Lepisosteus oculatus: one gene and its partner. The main gene of each other region encodes a partner of the protein of the gene in region 2 in a complex. Links are inferred from orthologs where the notes say so. Each region holds a gene or a part of one and is shown on either strand. Other genes may lie near its edges. The genes, in order: cry2 and per2.

Region 1 (10,172 bases), on a different chromosome or scaffold from region 2:
GAAATCATATTGACTATATATATAATGACTATACTGTATTGACTGACTATAAACGTATGTACATTAACAGTAGCTTTGCTGTCTATTCTAATTACTACTTTAATGCCAGTCGTGCTTTTGACTGAAATTAAGCATGGGAGCGTGTGTAACCCGTCGTGTGAAACTGTACATATTTCAGACGTTCAGGTGCTTAAGAGTTCGTTTCTTCTTCTCTGGTGCAGAGGCGATATTTCACATTTTTAGTCATGCTGGCGCTTTAAGACAGCAGGATCTTGATGTCTGAAGGAGGGACTAGGGCCCTGCATTTCTAGTCTGACGTGTGCATTAAGAGATAGGGGTTAGGGAGCGTGCGATTTGGAAAGGATGGGGAAGAGGGTAGTTCCGTGCTGCAAAACGCAATGTTTCGACTGTGGAATCTTCCTTGAGTGTTCGGTTCCACGGCCCGACGCGTTCATTGTGTCGCTGTTTCTTATATGATTTTCGCGTGAAATGGACCTACTTGTTCCGTATTAGGCGTGGTAAAAAGAAACACAACACAAGGAAGATAACCGGTTTTTCGTACTGCGGGGCTAATAGTTGGGGCAGGGTTTGGAATTTCTTCTGCCTTTGTTGTAAGGATTCGTGTGTGGAGTGACGTTTTTTTTTTTTGCTAAAGTATCTTCACAGAGGTTTGCGACCACGCCTACATGGTTGTGGACTCGAAACGCCTGGTTTTTCAGTGAGGCTGGTAGGTGGGAGGACTCAGGAAGTTGACAAGGAAGGAAAAGAGCCCTCGTACGTGTGAAAGGTCGTGGGCACCGCGTACAGTCATCACATGTAAAACGTTTCGCTTATTTTGTGCTTCTTTGTTTTGTCATGAACAGGACCCAGTTGAAGCGTTCGAAAATTTTGAAAATGGCCCTTATGCAGTCTGATTCTTTGGACCAAGAAGGAAAAACGGATTCTTTCTTAATGAAAGCCATTAAAATAGCCTTAGTGGTTGCTCTTTATTGGTTCATATCAATTACCATGGTTTTTCTAAATAAATACCTTCTGGACAGCCCTGCCTTAAAACTGGACGCCCCTCTGTTCGTGACATTTTTCCAATGCTTCGTGACTGTGGGGCTTTGCTGGTGTATGAGTCTGCTGTCCAGGTTGTGTCCGACGTCTGTGGAGTTCCCGTCTGTCAAACTCGACCTCAAGATGTCCAGAGAGATCCTGCCCTTGTCTGTTGTGTTCATCGGAATGATCACATTCAACAACCTGTGCTTGAAATATGTCGGGGTGGCATTCTACAATGTTGGGAGATCGCTGACCACTGTATTCAACGTGTTAATGTCCTATTTAATTATCAAGCAAACCACGTCTTCCTATGCCTTACTCTGCTGTGGAGTCATAATAGGTACAGTATGCTGTTCTTATTTATTTTCTTCGTTCTTTATTTTATCACCTGCTTTTACTGGAGGCGCGCTGTCACGTTAGACACACAGTGTCCCGTAATGGTAAATTATTCTGCAGGCAGTCTTATTGTCTTCCTTTGGAACAAGGCTTCATATAAGTGATTAACACGCAGACATGCCCGTACTTCCTAAATAAAGCACTTTGCAATGTGAATCCAGCACGTTGTGTCAACCAGCACAGCTCTGAAGTAAGGCTGAAAACTGTCCAAGTATGTTTGCATCTACTCTTTATATATTTTGCCGGTTATAAATATATATTGGTATACAGAAAAAGTCATTACCATTTAGAAAGTTATTGAACTAATGATTTTAATAAAAATTTGTTTTAACCAATGATGTGCTCTTGGGTCTTGAAATCATTTGTCCTTAACCTTTTTTGATTAATAAAATCATAAACTCACTGTTCAGCATTAATCCCTTGGCTGAAGCTCTGCAGGATGATTCCTGCTTTTCCAATAGTATTGATTTCTGAAGAAATAAGTCCAGTAAATTTGACAACAAAGACATAGAATTCAATTAATTTTACATAAATCAAACAAAAGTAAAACGGTGCTTGATTATAAATCTTCCTCGAACGCTTAAATATTTGTTGTTGTTTTTAAACAGGAGAACTTTTGTGTGCAAGAACTAGGTTGTGAGCATCATCTACCACTGGAAGCTTTTTTTAAAAATCTTGTAGCAATTCTACATTAATGGCTATACAAGTCATAGTCATAGCTGTGCTTCAAACTGTAAGCGCAAACTGTATGTGGAGGGCAAAGGTAACCCATAACCTAATTTTTTTTTGTTCTCCTTGTTTCTGCACAGGAGGCTTTTGGTTAGGTGTGGATCAAGAAGGGGCAGCCGGGTCACTGTCCTGGACAGGAATCATGTTTGGAGTTCTTGCCAGCCTGTGCGTTTCACTCAACGCCATCTATACCAAGAAAGTGATGCCGGTCGTGGATGGCAGCATATGGAAACTAACCTATTATAACAACGTCAACGCCTGCTTCCTGTTCATTCCCCTCATTGTGGTCTTTGGGGAATTTAAAACACTCTTCTACTTCGACAAATTAGACAGCTGGTACTTTTGGGGTATGATGACCTTGGGAGGGGTCTTCGGCTTTGCTATTGGCTATGTCACTGGCCTTCAGATTAAGTTCACAAGTCCATTGACACACAATGTGTCAGGCACTGCAAAGGCTTGTGCTCAGACAGTCTTGGCTGTTATCTACTCTGAGGATACCAAGAGCCTTTTGTGGTGGACTAGCAACCTAATGGTATTGGCTGGCTCTTTTGCCTATACCTGGGTCAAAGGACTGGAAATGAAGAAACTTCAGCAAGACCCACAGACTAAAAGCACTACTGCCAAAAATGACTCAGGTATTTAGAGTGCAGACCAGGAGCCATATAAGCAAACATGTGATGAGTCTCCAAAGTGCTTTTTGGATCTTTTCTATTGTGAATTGTACAACTGATGCTCAGACTGCAAGTAGGAAAAGCCCTGGCATCAAACTGTGGATGAAAAAGAAGATTTCTGAACTGTTTAAACCTGTTTGTTTGTTTTGTAGTTGTAAAATTACTTTAGCTAAAGAAAAAAAATATTTTTTAAGTTTCTTTAAAAGTCTGTAAATAAAGAACATTTTAAGAGGTGTGTAAGATATCTCTTTATTTTAATGACTAGTTGTGTAATATTTCTGTCCAAGCAAAGTAATAAATCAAATATCTAAAACAAACCTTGAAAAGTACGAGCTGTATTGTACATTATTTTACTCAAGTGATTGAAATGAATCTTCATCATAACATAATACAAAGAAAAAAATAATTAGGACATTGATCATCTTTGCCAACAGAGCCCCCTTATATCACGTTCCTGGCTCTTGTGTATATATATATACTCACAGATGCCCCTCTGCATGGTGCACAGCTGCTTTGATGGAGGCAGTGGTGAAGCTGGTAAGTGGGTCTGAGGCTGCCAGATGGTCTCGGTGTGTTACTTAGTCACCAGGCCCCTCTTGGACAGGAGGTGGTTCCTGCTGCCTTCACACCTCCCATGGCTCCATCCCTGGCAGGAATGGGGGTGCCCTCTCTCTGACGGCCTCAGCAGTTGGAGACGTGTAGGATGCAACCCTGGAAATGAAGGTGAGCCCCACGTCCAGCCAGTCCTACAGGCAGCCTTCTCCCTCCTGTGCTCCCGGACCTCGATCTGAGCCCAACCCCCAGCCAAGTTCACAGAAGTTCTCCCTGGTGTTGAGAGAGTGACTGCAGCTATCCTGGCTAGTGGAACCGCAGCACTGTCATTTCATCTACCTGATCCTGTTGGTTCCCCCCTCGGTGACCACATGGCAACCCTGTAGTCCTGGATTTCCTGGATGGGCTTCAGTCCTCCTGGGAAAACCTGGTATCTGCCCTTGTGAGATCACTGCGATTCAATGTGTTAATTTACACTGCCATCATTAGGTCCCCAATGTATCTCAACAAAGTGCCGAATATCAGAGTCTCCTTTATGAGACATTGGGGTTGAAGGCTTTTGCTGTTAATGTGGCCAGTGTTTTACTGAATCCATCTCACACTGGCCTGTGTTATTGTGGGGATGATGGGTTTCACCTTTAACAAACTACAGACTAAACTGCTACCCTGCCCATCTGACATGATTTAGTGCACAGGCACCAGTGTTAAATCTGAAACATCATTTCTAGAATCGAAGATGTCATATCCACACATTATTTCAAAGACCATTAGACAAGGCAGAAAAATGCTAGGTGGATCACCACAGTTCAGTGCTAGATGTGTGATTTATTTCTTAGCTTTTTGGATGGTATTCTAGACCTTACACAAGTATGTAAATTGAGGACTGGATAAAAAAACTTTCCAAGGTAGTTTGCTAAATTGTTTAATTAAGTATTGTCCCATTTTAGTGATGGTATGTTTTAAATTAATTTCCAGCATGCTTCACTGAAGTAATATTTAAAATGTGTAACACTGGACACACCAGGCACATATGCATACAGTATATAGTGATTCAGAATCCCAAAAGATTATTTTAATGAGTAATAAGTTTCACGAGCTTCATGTAGTTTTTAAGCTGTATTTATGCTTTTTTAAAATCCTATAAAGGGGCTTTCACTCACATGAACTCTTTCTAGACTGCTTTGCTATGGGCAAAATACAAAAACGATAAACATAGTTTGAGCAAAAGCAGCTGTCCAGATCAAAACTACACTTTAATCATATCATTTAAGGAGAATAATATTAATTTCTGCAGAAAAAAATATTCAGCTCTGATTTTAAGCTCCATATTCCCAAATCCTCAATTAGTCAATATTGAATATAGAATCAGAGTATATAATTATAGAAACCACAAAGAAACCAGTTATAATTGTGTCTGTTATTTTCTGCTTTTGAATGATTGTTTACACAGTATTGCTGTATATTATGATGGATTTTAGTTATTGATTTAAAAAAAAAAACTTGAGGGCCATAGTCTAATTTGTGTATCTTCCCCAAAACATTATACTGTATTTTACCAAGGGAAATACACTCTGTATGTTTAACATTAAGAAAGTACTAGTCTTTGTACAGAGATGCAACCTTATGATAACTGGAAAATAGTTCATTAGAATGACCCCAGTAAAAAAAAGACCTGTTTTTATTGTATTTAATAGGGTTTGTGAAGTCATATTAGGTCGTAACTTGTACAAAACGATGCCTGCTTCTGTAACATAAAATCGCTAGGTGTCATAGTAGAGTTGCTGAATTTCAAATAAGAAACCATGACCTTACTCATAGTTTAAGTATACAGTACTATGCTTAGAAATTTCTGGATAAAATGGTACCCTATTAGGTTTGACCGCTCGCTAGAGCACATTTACGGTATGTAAAACAGGATAAATAGTCGTCTGTATCAATCAGCCTATTTTATTTTTTAATTTGAAATAAAAACAAAACCCGAGTGTTTTTACGATTTTGTACTTCACAACACACAATACGCACATCATATTTCACTGTCGTAAGAAAACCCGCCTTATATAAGAGCGCTAGGGTAAGTCACGTAACTGCCAGACAACGTAATGTACTGTCCGTGATGAGACGATTCTTCCAGCATTTTTTCCCTACTTTATTTCCGATCCCAGGTTAATTCCAACAACACACCAGAGAAACGTGACGGGGCGTGTCCTACATGTGATCAACAACCAATCGATTAGGAACTGGGCGGAAACTTGTTGTAATAGTCTGAACACGTGTCACCTGTAAGCCAATAGGCGTTGCACTCGGAGGGAAAGGCTCCAGTTCAGCAACATTGACTGTGCGCAAACTTGTGGAGGTGGAACAGCTTGGCAGTTGAAATCACTTTTCAAGCTTAATATGGACTCTTTTCGACGGAATTCTGGTTAAAGATTGTGACTGGTGTTTTCTTAAGGTTTGCAAATCGACATCATGGTGGTGAATTCCGTGCACTGGTTCCGCAAAGGGCTGAGGCTCCATGATAATCCGGCTTTACAGGAAGCTTTGAATATTTCGGACACAGTGCGATGTGTTTACATTTTGGATCCCTGGTTTGCTGCATCGGCTAATGTAGGAATCAACAGATGGAGGTTTGTCTTTTATGCTACGTGATTGCATCGTGTGTCCCATTCAGTGCGTTAATGGCGTTCTAGTTTGAATCAGCTTAGTTTTCTAAACATTTGTGTGTCACGCCAGAGTCGTCACTGCTCGTGTTGGAAACACATGAACGTGGTTTGTGCAGTATCACAGAGCAGAGGCATACGGGGTGTCCGTGTCTTTTTCTGTCCACTTCCAGAGGTCACTGCATGGCGAATATTATTACATCACTGTAAGGCCATATGACTGCTCTTGCATTTAGGTGAACCTTTTGCCAAAATGAAACTTCGTTTCCATTTGTCTTGGCAACAATGTACATTGCAAGTAGGAATGGTTACATGTGTTTGCGTCCTGATTAGGATAACCCACTGCCTTTATCACGCAAAGTTATGCAGTGACTTGCAATTTTCGTGATCAGTGTTACCTTTTAAGATCTTCATTTTGTACTATAGTAACTAGTCTTGTTTAGTTTTCAGATATTTGTAAATAATTTGACGGGTTTGAATACAAATCAGTTAGGATTTTATATTGAGAATGCCGTCCCAGTAAACCTCTTGCAAGTTGATAATGCTGTCATTTCATTTCTGAATCCAGAGAAATAATTTAGGGATATAAACTATTGCAGTCCCTCCTGACCACCTAATAATTATGTTGTGAAGAGAATGGATGGAGAAATGTCTCAATGTCTGAAAAAAGACTCAAAACAACAGCAGAACCACAGCAGGAATCGATTACAGAGATCTGGGAACAAGTTCAGCTAAATGGATTAGTTACCCTCAGTGCCTGAGAACCCTGTTGTCCAAAAACTTGATGAGATGGGGTTTTCCCAAGACCAGGGTTGGAAACCACTGAGGAGCAGGAAAGCTAAAGGATGGCAGTGGTCATGTGAAATGTGACTGAATTATTTTGCAAAGTAGACAATTTGCTAGTTATCTCAAGGGTTTTAAAGATCCTTTTTACTCGACAGTTTAGGCTAACTTTATTCTCTCATTTAGATTCCTCCTTGAATCATTAGAGGATCTGGACGCCAGCCTGAGAAAACTGAATTCCCGACTGTTTGTTGTGCGAGGGCAGCCAGCAGATGTGTTTCCCAGATTATTCAAGGTAAGCTCTGTCGTTCTGTCTCTCTCATGATATTGACATTCGTTCCATTTTTATCTGCTGACTGTGCTCATTGAACTTTTGCACACATTGAAATCTGTCTACTGTAACTATTGTCGATTTACATTATGGTAGTTTTACTGCAGCAGTCCGAATGAAGGGTATTTCTCAAGGGTAGAGCAGTACACATCTGGGATTTGAACTCACAACCTTCCAATTGAGAGCTAGATTCCTAACTACTATTCCTGCATGCATCATTTATTTTGCTCTTAAGAAGTAGGGTAAATTTCAAGGAATTCAACTGAAATAATATGTACTTAATATTCTGTTTAGTAGTATTTTTTGATTTTCTTTAATGTATTACAATGCATCGTTCATCATGGAGATTCCTAAATAATCTTTGTAAGTAGTTTTATTGTTCTGTAAATGTCTTTCGTGAAGACTGTTCTAAAATGTGAATAAGTGTTTTTTTCATCTGGGTTTGGATCTTTACTACTAACTGGAGTCACCGAGGTCATTAGGAGTTCATTTTTAATTAGCTTAATTTGAAGAGTGTTGCTGTTGGTCTGTGACGGCATGCAGAGTATTCTTTTACTATATTTAATGGGAAATGTTCACGTTAATGGGGAAATAAAGAGTTCCTTTTCAGCATCTATTGACTCTGTCCTTTTTTTAATAAGATAAAGCTCGATATTCATCAAAATTTGCTCACAATTTCTTTGAGAATGATCTTCATCATGAGGGACATGGAGTTCTTAGTGATATTTCAATATCTCAAGAAAATGTGATATGATATAATCTTTTGTGACAGTATCCACTCTTCACATTTCACTTTCATCAAGATCAAGCCTAATGTGTGAAGTTATTGAAGTTCCTTGTCATGAAATCAATATCCTCAGCACATGTCTGTTTGAAGAGGCTAGTAACATTTTCTGCTGCTTCTGCTAGGGAAATGAACTCATGAAAGTGTTTTGCTTAGGTTCTGTTTTTGAAAATTGCTTCAAAGAAGATTCATTTTAGCAATATATTTAAATACTTAAGAAAATTTCTAGATTTAATCATACAATTAAGGCTTTCTAGTTTTAGATTTAAATGGCAATTTCACTGTTGAGTCATTCCTAATTAAACGATAGCTTTTTTGGCATGATTTATAAGACTGATTTTGAAAAAGCTTTTAGCTATGCATTATGAAGGAGCAGAACTATTATGTGCTTTTATCTGTTTTTCTCCATCATTATGAGATGTCTCACTCTTGTGTTAAAAGTCACAGTATTTTCCCTTTCAGGAATTTCTGGTGCTTGTGTATAGGAAAAACAGTAAAGATTCATTCCATGCTGAAAAGAGAAGAAAAGAAACTCAACATTTCAGCTGTGAAGCCTTCTTTGAGTCCATTGGGTAAACAATGGACATTTTTTTAGTACAGACTGCAAAATATTTCTTCATAGCATTTGTTACATATGAGTAAAATCTTATGTTGTGAAGAGGAATTGTTTGATTAGGAAGGAGTTCTCTTACGAACCTCTTTCAGGTTAGCACAGGCCAAATGAATAGCTCTTTTAATGCCCTTCACATAGCAAAAATAGCTCAAGCATGTTTATAGTTTATGAATGATGAAAAATTACTTAAACCACTCTTAATCGGATTTTGTTTCAGAATACCAAAAATGTCTGACCTGTTTATTTTCCTTTTTGCCCTGCAGGAATGGAATGTAACACACCTGACTTTTGAATACGACTCGGAGCCGTTTGGGAAAGAGAGAGATGCTGCGATCATGAAGCTGGCACGGGAGTCAGGAGTGGAAACAATTGTACAAGAATCCCATACGCTGTACAGTTTAGACAGGTGAGGCAATGCTGAAAGTAGCAGTTTCGTATTTTATTTCTCAAGAAAATTGTTGTGTTAGTGTACAAATGCAGCCATTTGATTTAAATAATGAAATGAATTGCTTAATATGTGGTTTTGCTTTGTTTCTGTTGGGGCAAAAAACAATTTTGCATCAAGCTATATGTATGTACAGTTCAGACAAAAGTTAGTAAAAAAGATTAATTTGGTCTCTGACAAGTTAAAATTAACTAAATGCTGAAAATAGGTTATTGACACTTTGTGACCATGCAAAGGGGCTTTAGTGGTTTCTGAAGTAATTAGATTCCTTCAAATATTTTCACCTGCAGCTGTGAACATGCTGCTGCAGAAACTGTAATCATCATGAAAAGCAATTAATGTTTTTTTTCTGGAATTGTTTCTCCAACTAGTAAAACCAGAGTGATTATGAAGTCTTTTGTAACCTGTGTCAGTGTGTATACTTGTAGAAGGTTATTAGGAATACCACCCAGGAAAGATAGATATCTGTATAAAAGATGGAATTCCTAGTATAAACAGCAATTGACTGGTTTTGTGAGAGAATTGAAAGGCTGGTTTTGAACCTAGTAAAAATCCAAGTATGAAACTGTTGTTTGTTCTTACTGAAAGTATGTGAAATCACGAGAGCCTTTCACCCTTCTCTGTAAATATAATTGATTAAAGTAGACAGCATGTGTCATGTAACCTGTATATGTGAGATGTTATTTTTTTATATGATGTCTTCAGCTGCACATAGTTTCTATTCCAGTCCTTTGTATTTGTGTCTAATGGAGGCGATGCTACCACCTAGTGGTGCGCTGCACTAATTATCAGGCACACTACCCAACATGTGCAGACAGTGGGTGGTGGAATAGCTGTGCTCTACAGTCACCATTGCAAACATGTGCCTTCAGGAGCGTGCAGCCATGCAGCACTAGGCACATGTAAGCCGCCTGAGACAGGGCATTCTGGCAGGAAATGACAGAATGGGAGTGGTTAACTGGTTACCGATATAGATGGAGTTGCATAAGCTGAGGGGGTGGATCTGATCTTTTTCTGCTGTTCATTAGTTCCATGCACCCCATTTATCTCAGAATTCTTTTGTCAGAAATAATTGTGAGCTTTTTTTCTTTTTTTATCCCATGTTTTGTTTCTTTCTCTCAGTAGAAATACTTCAGACCATGAAAAGAAGTATTTCTTGTTAAGTAAAGA
Region 2 (10,146 bases):
ACTGAAGGCTCCATTTATATAATATGTTACATAATTTCAGTGGATACAGATAAGAACCCAACTTGCTTTTAGCACGAATGCGTAGCTACATACACAAAATAAGAAAATAAATATCATATTCATTTTCGCAATGCTGTCTGTACAAGGCACCAATGATGGGTAGGCTATTTATACTCATATAACTTGAACCTTCCTCTGAGATCTGGCCCAAGGCTCCAAACCAACAATTACTTTCGACGTTTACTTGTAGAGAAATGCACAGCACCTCCTCTGGATTCTGGAAAACCACCTGAAACGAGTTTCCATGCATTCGCCAGGCTAGGCCACTTTACCGGAAGTGAAAATATAAATGAATAGACTGTACAAGAGAAATTGCTTTTGCCTCTCCCCCGCTATTTGTAATATGATTCGAGAGTGGGTGGTGCACATCTGTACATCACGATGAAAATAATCATTACAATAACCCCTGGCAGGCCTGTGTGTGCGTCATCACTGCCAATGGCGCACTGAGCTTGCTCCTTCACTTCACTGTCAAACACAAGTGCCCAACAGGCTTCCTGCATGACTGGGTGTCCCCTCATGACAACCCACTTGTGACCCCTTCAGAAAAGGTGCACAATTTTAAAACAAAAACCCGCTTTTTTATTCAGATTCTGGCTCATTTTCCATTTTGAGTAGGTTTTCTAGCCCATCCTCCGTAGTTCCCAATTGTAGGACTCAACAATTTCTGTACATAAGTGTCTGTGGTACATTTATAATAATAACAATAATAACAATAATAGCTTACACTTATATATCACTTTTCTGGACACTCCACTCAAAATGCTTTACAGGTAATGGGGACTCCCCTCCACCACCACCAATGTGCAGCCCCACCTGCATGATTAAGGTACTATAATAGGCTTAAACTTCTTAGATCTTCAGTCAGTCTCTGTTGCCATCTCCTAAATTTACTCCAAGAGCCAAAGAAGAAAACTGATGGCCCCATCCTTACACAAAACGTGCCATAGTCTTAAGCTCTGAATGTGTCTCAAAGATGATCTGTAACGGCGCACTCCTACTGACGGTCACTTTCCCCGCAACCATTTTCCAGTCTATTTCAACACACAACCCAGATGATACATCTATTTATGGCACACGCTCTTTGTAAACCAATCAATATTACTCTTTCCATACAAAACAATAAAAAGTTCTGCTTGAAACAGAATGCAATTTAAATTTTTGCTCTATCACAAGGACAACCAAACACTTTCTTCTGCATTAAAATTCCTTTAAGGTTCTTGGATTTACCTACTTCCCTCTAAGCAAGTCAATTTCCTTCACAAATCAAAAAAAAAAAACACTGGTCCAGTTTCATAGCAATCTCACCTCACCAATGTCCAAACTCTTCAATGAACTAAGTTTAAACTAGCTTGTCTCATACCTTTACTAATTATTGTAGGTTAATAGCAAGAAACAAAAGATACAAACCAAGCATTGTGACTAAAATATGCCATCCTCAAAGAATACATTCAAATTTACAAGTACTGCAATACATTTTTTCTTTGCCATTCCTTCACACAATACCATGATGGGACTCCCAACAGGTGGTTCACACGTTTAATTTTGCTGTTTGTTTTCTTCTGTATGCTTGATGTGTTTACAGTGTGTCAGTGGAAAAGTATAATATCTAAGGTCAGCAAAGTCCAATAATTTTACATTCTAGAACAGGCTAATATGATCTGCATGCAAACCCCTGTTTTTTTAATTCCATTTGTGACTCCAAAAGATCATCTTATGAATTGAGTGAAGATTCTGCTCTTCGTCAGTTTTTCCAGTCAAACCAAACAGTTAGACTCATGAAATGAGCCTTTTCCTATCAAGCTGCCCTTCAGTAACACTTACATCTTCAGCTTTCCCCCCACCAGCAGATACAGGCAGCAGATAAGCTTCAATATGAAGTTCAATACAATCTAAAAACTGAATGCAACATCTATAATAAGTACTTTCCGCATGGTATTGTATTCAAATAATTGAAGATAGTTTAGCCTTGGCTTTTCAATACAAAAAAAAAACTTTCCTTCAAGTAGCAGCAGATCAGGACAGAGTGTGAAGCAGCATTTAAGTCCCTTAAATCTCAACTTGAAGGCTGTGGGTTCAAATCTTGGGTCTACCCCTTGAGCAAGGAGCTTGTCTTAAATTGCTTCAGTAAAATGCTCTGCTATATGAATGTGGACAGATTTGGTCTCATCCATTTAAGCTAATTATAATAATTCCACTTTCCCTTTAAACTAATAAAAATGTAATGAAGTTTGATTAAACCGAGAACTGCATTTGATCTTGTGCTACTACAACATGTGGAGGACTTCAACTTGTCTTATATTATATGAATTATTTATAAAAGCATGATTGAAAATTAAGGGCAGATATAAAACCCCTCTCATTTGATATGCAAATTAAAAGCCACCCAAGTATACAATCCACAGTATACTAAAACTGGACATTCATCAACAAACGACCTACACGAAACATGTTCATATCATTTTTATTTCTGATATTAATCACATTTCTACCTGGATATACAACCTTAAATGAATATGAAGATTCAACTTGTTTTGCAATCACAATAAATTATACATGTTTAAAAGGAGAAAATACAAACGTACCCTTTTCACTTTACCAAGATCGGGTAAACTGTAATGAACTTTGTAAAACTAGCTAGATAGAACCAGCTGTACTCAATATGCTTCAGCAGTTCTCCTTTATCATGCAATTAGGGTTCAAAGATTTATTTGCCTGGCACAGAGGCTGTTCAGAAAATTATAGATAAGGAGGGTTTTAAAACCTGATAGAAAATGAAGATTGATTTCAAGGTTGGGAAATCATTTCATTTCGAGTTTCATTATTCCCAGATAATAAACTTAAACCTTTTTTGTAATTCTGACAATTGATCATCTAAATCCATAGATGTACAGTAGTATCCACAGGTAGCCCACACACCCACAAAAATGTTACATCAATAAAGAAATATGGAAATATGCTGTAACACAACCAAACCATCTCAAAAACAATGAACATAATGTTTAAAATTCCTTACAACTCAGATATCCATGCAACAGGTCTGACTGGCAACTCAGCATACTGTATACAATATAGAGGCACAGCTCAGTAAAGCCAGCTTAAGGTATTTAGGGCATATAATGTAGGAGAAACTATCATGCTGTATGTCTAATAACCTGTTTTCAGTGGGACAATGGGCTGTAGGGATATCGCATGAAGCAGACCAATGCAGCTAACCCTTAACAATCTCTTAAAACCGGCATATTCAATAAACGGACTAATAAATATTAAGGAGTGTATATTTGTGTCATCTAACATGTCGAGACAAACAAGGGTGAAAACGGAACGAAAGCAGAATATATCGCAAACAAAAAACTGCGAAATCTCTGTCAGTTGATTTGGAATGGTTGCACATTCAGGATTACACAGCTTTGTTGAATTACACCCACGCATAAGGCATTAGTTCGCTTTCCATTTGAAAATTAGGAAGAAAAAAAAAAGATTTTCTCCCTATCACGCGTCTAGTCAGCAACTGGCTACACTAGCCTACATCCTCCTGTCGCAACTGACCCAGATAGCGCCACCAAAAACTTGCTCTTAAATACCCCAACCCTTACAGAGAGCACACTGCACAGGTATACCCCAGACGAGTCATTTCACACACCAAACTATATATTACTGTATCAGTCGAATGAGCGAATTAACTTGTTAACAGGGGTATTCGTTCTAATCGGAAATGCAATAATGGTAGAAACGATGTCGTCATTTTAAGTGCAAGAATAACACTATATTACAATCAAAATACTTTTTATTTACAGCCTATGAGCCTCCATGGGTCACGAAAATATATCACTTCAAACGAATACAAGTATACTGGTCGCCACACTGGAGTGGACCTAATATCCTGGCTATGATAGTAAACCGGCTTGATATGATACCGAGTGAAGCTCTGAAAGCATCTTTTTCCAGCTCCATGTTAGTTTTCCCCCTTTCAATCTTTAATATATATGACCCATCATTAAGAAATAAGATGTGATAATAAATACTTGCCTTCTTCACTTAAAAACGACAAGCTCACGACCGGCAGGGTCTGCACTGACTGTAGCAAAGTTGCACGGCTGGTAACTGGATCAGCGAGGTCAAACCCGAGAGACAGGACTGCAGATAAACTCTCTGAGCGCCTGCAGCTCTGTCAGCCTCCGCGATGAGGCAACTTACTCGCGTCCCCCAGCTCTTTCCGTGCAGGAAAATGAACCAACACGACTATGTACAGTAGGCAGGGCAGGTGCTGTCAAGCAAGTGCTACTCCAGTGACCCACCGCAATCCCAGAGGAGGAAAAAAACGTTGACCCACCGGTGGTACGCTTACATAACAGACCCCCTATTTAAAATAAAAAAAATTAAGTCGCTAAATAAATCAGCGCGGCGAACAATTCTCATCTGAGAGAATGCAATACATGCAATAACAGACTGGGAAGAGCAGGCAAACTTTAGAGCACCGAATCACTCTTCATTTCATTCAAGCTAACAGAATCTCCAATCCAAAAGCGTGTCACCCATTCCCTAGTGTTACACAACCAGCTAGCGGGCGGTCTAGCACAGTAACACGGATAACTCTTCAGCCGCAAGAGCACATAAGCAAAGACAAACCTTGCGCGTAAAAAAAACGGGGCTCAGCTCGTTGCTCTCGTTGCTCTCCTGTGTTTGGTTTTACGGCAGGTAGCCTCCCGTTTGTGTCCTCAGGAACATTTGCTGCGCTCCAGTTTCTGAGTCTCGCTCGGCTCCACAGCTGCCCCGAAAACCTGGAGTGGCAAACGTGACCTCAATACGGGCTCCGCCCCGGCTCGGCGCCCATTGGCTCCCAGCCCCGGGTTTCCATGGCAAATAGTAGGCGATGAAGTCAGAGGACGCCAATTGGCTCGACGCGCCGCCAATCTATTTATGTAAGGCTGTCATAAGACTCACATGGAAAACCATGTTTGCAGGCAATGTGGGCGATTTCGTAGTAGTGTAAGCCCTGTGCTAACTGAATGAACGCTGCTGCTGGAAGGAGAGGGTTTGGTATTGGATGGTGAAATTTCGTTGATTGTTATCTAAACTATTATACAACTATTTTTTTGTGTGTGTGTTTCGCTGGCATTCCCTTTACTAAACACGTAATAGTCTGGGGGTGAACCTTTCTAAACTGCCCTGTGGTGCAGTTTTTTCCAAGAGGGCACGCATGCAGAATTATGTAAGTGATTACGGCATTTGTCAACTTGCACGTCTGGATGATGTTGCGTAGAGACATTTGTCGGCTGGCACTTACCTTTTTAATGTTATGAAATAGCGTGGTGGAGACACTATGAAATTCATGCATACAGCAGTACAACAGACTTCTGATCAATCAGTGTTTATTTATCAGATGCACAACAACCAATAACCATTTTCTTTCCTTACCAGATAAATGAATTTGTTTGAATAAAGTTTAAGCATGTATAAAAAGAAGGTCTACACAATGCAGTTCCTTCACAAATCGTTGATAATTGTATAATAATTCTATGGATTACTCGTGCAGATACTCCGTTTGTTTTGTTTGTTTTTTGGTTCTGGGATTGTGTGGTTGTTGCAGATACCGCACCTATGGTATGTGTCCATGCGATTTTGGGGTTTGTTTTGTTGTCAGTCCTGGTGACTGTTGTGTAACGCCAGCGACACCTGCTCCGTGGTCTCATGCTGTCCGTGTGGACGCGGTTTCTTCACGAAACCCGGTTCGGGTTCTGAGGTAACAGGAAGGAACGCGTGCACGTGCTGAAATTCAGTGTGTTCCACTGATATAATTCTGCATCGGGGCTTAAATGGCGAAACCATCCCACATTTTTGCTAAATATCTTCTGGGGATGAGGCATTGTCCTGTACTGTATATAAAATATACATTTACATTATTAGATAGAGGTTGTTGCGTCGAGGGACGAAAACCGTTACTATAAGACTTCTATTAATCCCACGTTAAATAGCTTTTTATGATGAAACAGGGCTACTGCCGTATATCATTTTTGGACCAGATCAGTCATGAGTGAAAGCGCTACGCTGTGTTGACAGGGATGCTGTTTTAATTGAATCATTACACAATCACAAAGATCTATGTTTTCCCATTACATAAGGCGACACTGCGGGCCACATTGTGATATGGAGCTACATTTTTATTAAAACACCTGCAAATCAGACGGTATTTTTGAGGCACGGCTTATCTCAGCACTTTTCACGTGGATTGTGCTAGTCTTTCTCTTTTATACGATTCGCTATTCGATAAAAGCGTTAGAACCGCCAAAGCGGCAGAATAAAATGTATTAAGTTCTAAGCAGAAAACAGAAAAGTCGTTTACTACATTTAGAATATTGTCATTTAACTACTGCTAAGAGGAAAACGTCCTCCTATGTGCTTTAGTCTAGAAAGTAGTACAGCAGAGTTAGTAGAGCAGTAGTACCCCTTTTGGGTGGGGCATGTGTAATTTTTATAACATTTTATAAGTGCTTTAGTGTCATGGGGGAGCCAGAACCTATTCTGGCAAAGCCATGGACACAAAGCAGGATACACTCTGGATGGGGAACCAGTCCAATTGCAGGGCACAGGAAGTTACCATATGACTCTGGACTGTGGAAGAAAACCAGGGCACCCAGATGAAACCCACACATACATGGGGAGAACATACAAACTCCATCCACACAGCATCCCAGGACCTGAACCCAGGGCCCCAGCGCTACAAGGCAGGAACGCTAACAGCTGAGCCACCATACTGCCCCATAATGTTATATATCCCTTAAAATTCAGATTCTACACTTCAGTGTACAGTTCTTACATTTCAGTGAAAGTATCCTTCTGTAATGTGCGGTAACATCTTTTATGTATTTTTAAATGATTGTCTTTTGAGGCCCAGTGTGTGGGACAGGAGTGGGTCATGTTCATGTGTTTATTACCACAATGGCAAAAACATTTTTGTTACAGGCTTGCACTCAAGGAGCACCAACATTTCAATTCAAAATACTTTATTCATCCTCACAGGAGCAATTTAAGTGCAAAGTTTTTTAATGCCCTAGTTGTACTGACTATTTTTCTCTACTATAATTATTGTAAAAACTGCAGTTATATAGTGTGGGCCAGTTATGAAAAATAACATCCCTAAAATTTTAAAACAATGTGACAGTTGTTAGATTTGACTTCTTTTTACACTGTGGATGTCCAGACAGTGTCAAAGAAGGATGTAGTGAACATGGGTCTGAGAATCCATCTAGGTTGCAAGCATGTTACACTCACTACTGAAATGTCAGTCCCTCTCACAAGCCTCTTGCTGGATACCTAGGTAACGTGTGGGCGGTTATAATCCACCACCAAATCAGGTATAGAAGTGAGAAATTACTTCACCGATTGAATTGAGAAGACTGGACTTTGGCCAGGGCACCGAGAGAACAACTCTTTCTGACAGTGCTGTCAGGTCTTGACTGGGCAAGCAATCAGGATCACAGGTTAGAGGCACATCCGAAGGAAGGAACCTCTTGCAGTCCAACGGTCCTTGTTTCCATATTTGAGGAACAGATTGGAATTCCCAGCGTAAGGGTAAGAGTGACCCCTAATGGTCCACCCAATAAATATACTTGTGCATCAGCTTGAAATTCCTATGCTGTGAACATTTCACAAGCTCCCTGTCAGAGGACTTTAACCTGCTAATTTATAAGGCACTGAACAGTCTAGCTCCAGATTATCCTAAGGAGATAGTTTATACATGGGTTCATACTTCATGCATGAATGTAGTCCAATTCCCATTCTTAGTCACTACCAAAGCCCAATTTCCTCATAATCAGGCAACAGATCTTTTTGTGTATAACACCATATCCACAACTATTTGTTTTCCTCAAGCCCAGTTACTATTGATTTTGTTTTTTTAGCATCAGGTTTTGAGTGTTTGAGTTTTACTGTGCTCTCTTTCTCAGTTGTTTACTTCTGTTACATGTATTTTATTTTTGCGTTATATTACAGTACATTTGTTTTGTGATATTTGCTTGCACATCAAATTGTATTCAAATTGAAACAACTGCATTCGCTTTAACATGTGGGCACAGTACCAATAAACTCTATAAATGTTTAAATCTACCATGCAACAAGATATAAAGTATGCACTGTAAGAATTGTCACTGTTGCAACAATCAAAATAAAAGTTTTTATCAAAGAAAATTGAACCGTGCATTTTCCAGGAGGAAAATTAAGGAATTGGGAGCGACCTTAAGATGACTTCCAGAATTGGCACATACACTGTATCATTGGTTAACACAAGGAAATGCTGGAGAGACAAATGACGTAAAACTTCCATTTGCTAAAAAAAAATCTTGGCAAGTATTCCACTAGAAAGGAATGTCTCTGGGTACTTGGGCTTACACATAAAAAATGTTTTAAAGTAACAGCAGGATGTCTGGTGGAAAAGTCTTACTCTGACTAAGAATTAAATTATTTTAGTGATACAGCCTGAGACAGTTAATCCTTTAAAACATAATTCATCATAAAGGAGGTTTTGTTCCATGAAACCTTACAGTACAGTAGGTATATTCTTAATACCTGATATACCTGAATTAACATTATAAGCCCAACTTCACCACAGATTGGAAAAGTAAACTAAAACAGCTGTACATTTTGGAAAGTTTCATTCATGCCCTTTTCCGAATTTATGCCTCAGTAGGTTTCAGTCGTATGGAAACATTCGTAAGAATCACTGGAGAATTACCTTGGAAAAATTCAAAGTGAAATCCTTTTGAACCTTTGATGAAGTTGTAAGTGATCTATGCAGGTGCTATTTGGATTACTTCTTTGATATGGACACAGTGGTTAATTCTTACAAAAGATAAATATAGTGAATGTCATTTCCATACGAGCTATGGCAGAAATACCAGTGTACAGTCCAAACATTAATTGCACCATTGAAATTTCAACAGCTGAACAATTTAAATAAACTTTTAAGTATTTTGACATTACACTTTACAAGTTACATTACTAAGACGACATGTGAATATACAGTAAATAAAAAGAGTACTGAAGAAGCATTTTTATAGCACGGAAAAAAATCCATATTCACAAAACTGTTTTTATTACTATCTTCTAAGGTTACATGAATATCTAATAAAGAGCTGAATGTTGTTTGTGTTAAAGAGAGTTGGAACACATAATTGCTAGCTAAAGGAAGCTTTTTAAAATGTCTTGCTAATATTATTTTATTGTAAGTGTTTTTATCACAAGCACCAAATTTGCTTGGACCAGAAATTTAAGAAAAATGCCAGGAACTAGAGATATGTTAGCTCAGGATATAGAGGTTGTGTTGTGAGGATTGTAGATAGAGCTGAGGAGGTACAGTGAACTGTTTAAAAGATGCCTTCCCTAATTTCTACCATGAAATGAATCACTGCTCACTTTTTTCAACACCATCTCTGACTGGTTGGGGAGAAGTGATCTTATCCAAGCCTGTGTGACATCTCTACCTTTTTCAGCAAATACTCCTTCCAGACAGTAAAGATTAGAGGTTGTCTAAATCATCTTGGAGAACACTCAATGATTTCCTGTCTAGTGGCCAATACGTCTTCAGATGTTTTCCCTTTGGCATCTGGCAGAGGGAATGGCTGATGCTTGAGGTTTATTGTCAGTACGGTGTTCAACATGGGGAAGTAGAATTGAGGAATGGCTCCATTTATGAATGAACTAGTGAACATCCCCCTGAAGTCAGTCTGGACTGCTGTTGTTACGTTTCAGTGCCATAGGATTCCAGTATCACATCCCCCTGACTAAGCATGACTTTGCCTAATCTCAACCTCGCAAAAAAGATCAGCATCTTCCTCCACCACCAAAAGCCAAGCTCTCGGTTGGATCCACACTATCATTATGGACCAGAGAAGAATTACTGCTTACTTAAAACAAGGATCTAAAATTAATGAAATGGAGCTTGATTAAACAATAAAAATAGTAGACTTACTGCAAATGGGTATAAATGACAAGTATTTCAGACTTCTTCATTAAACTACCAAGGTATTATTTTATAGATTGTTATAGACCCAATGTTAAAAGGAAGGTAAAGTGGCTTGTAACTACAGG

The links.
Region 1: the proteins of per2 (region 2) and cry2 are in contact, whole or in part, in a crystal structure (PDB 4U8H), measured with the Mus musculus proteins. The link is inferred for Lepisosteus oculatus from reciprocal best matches to the Homo sapiens genes PER2 and CRY2. Residues at the interface, in NP_035196.2 of Mus musculus: Tyr1132, Leu1134, Gln1135, Asp1136, Pro1137, Trp1139, Leu1140, Met1142, Ala1143, Asn1144, Thr1145, Ile1149, Met1150, Met1151, Thr1152, Tyr1153, Gln1154, Leu1155, Arg1158, Asp1159, Leu1160, Val1163, Leu1164, Asp1167, Gln1168, Lys1170, Leu1171, Leu1174, Gln1175, Ser1177; in NP_034093.1 of Mus musculus: Trp58, Ser63, Ser64, Val65, Lys163, Leu166, Thr167, Lys169, Arg170, Glu215, Leu216, Gly217, Phe218, Asn330, Pro331, Ile332, Cys333, Ile334, Gln335, Ile336, Pro337, Asp339, Asn341, Pro342, Glu343, Leu345, Ala346, Lys347, Ala349, Glu350.

Annotation. Positions count from the first base shown.
Region 1 is NC_090716.1:6,340,412-6,350,583, forward strand, and holds the start of cry2 (cryptochrome-2), read left to right. Parts: upstream 1-5,674; 5' UTR 5,675-5,855; coding exon 5,856-6,013; intron 6,014-7,015; coding exon 7,016-7,124; intron 7,125-8,820; coding exon 8,821-8,963; intron 8,964-10,172. Other genes in the region: slc35c1 (GDP-fucose transporter 1), read left to right, coding at 856-1,381, 2,247-2,809. UniProt on the Homo sapiens protein: Transcriptional repressor which forms a core component of the circadian clock.
Region 2 is NC_090708.1:8,121,734-8,131,879, reverse strand, and holds the start of per2 (period circadian protein homolog 2), read right to left. Parts: upstream 4,866-10,146; 5' UTR 4,690-4,865; intron 4,333-4,689; exon of another isoform or gene 4,090-4,332; intron 1-4,089. UniProt on the Homo sapiens protein: Transcriptional repressor which forms a core component of the circadian clock.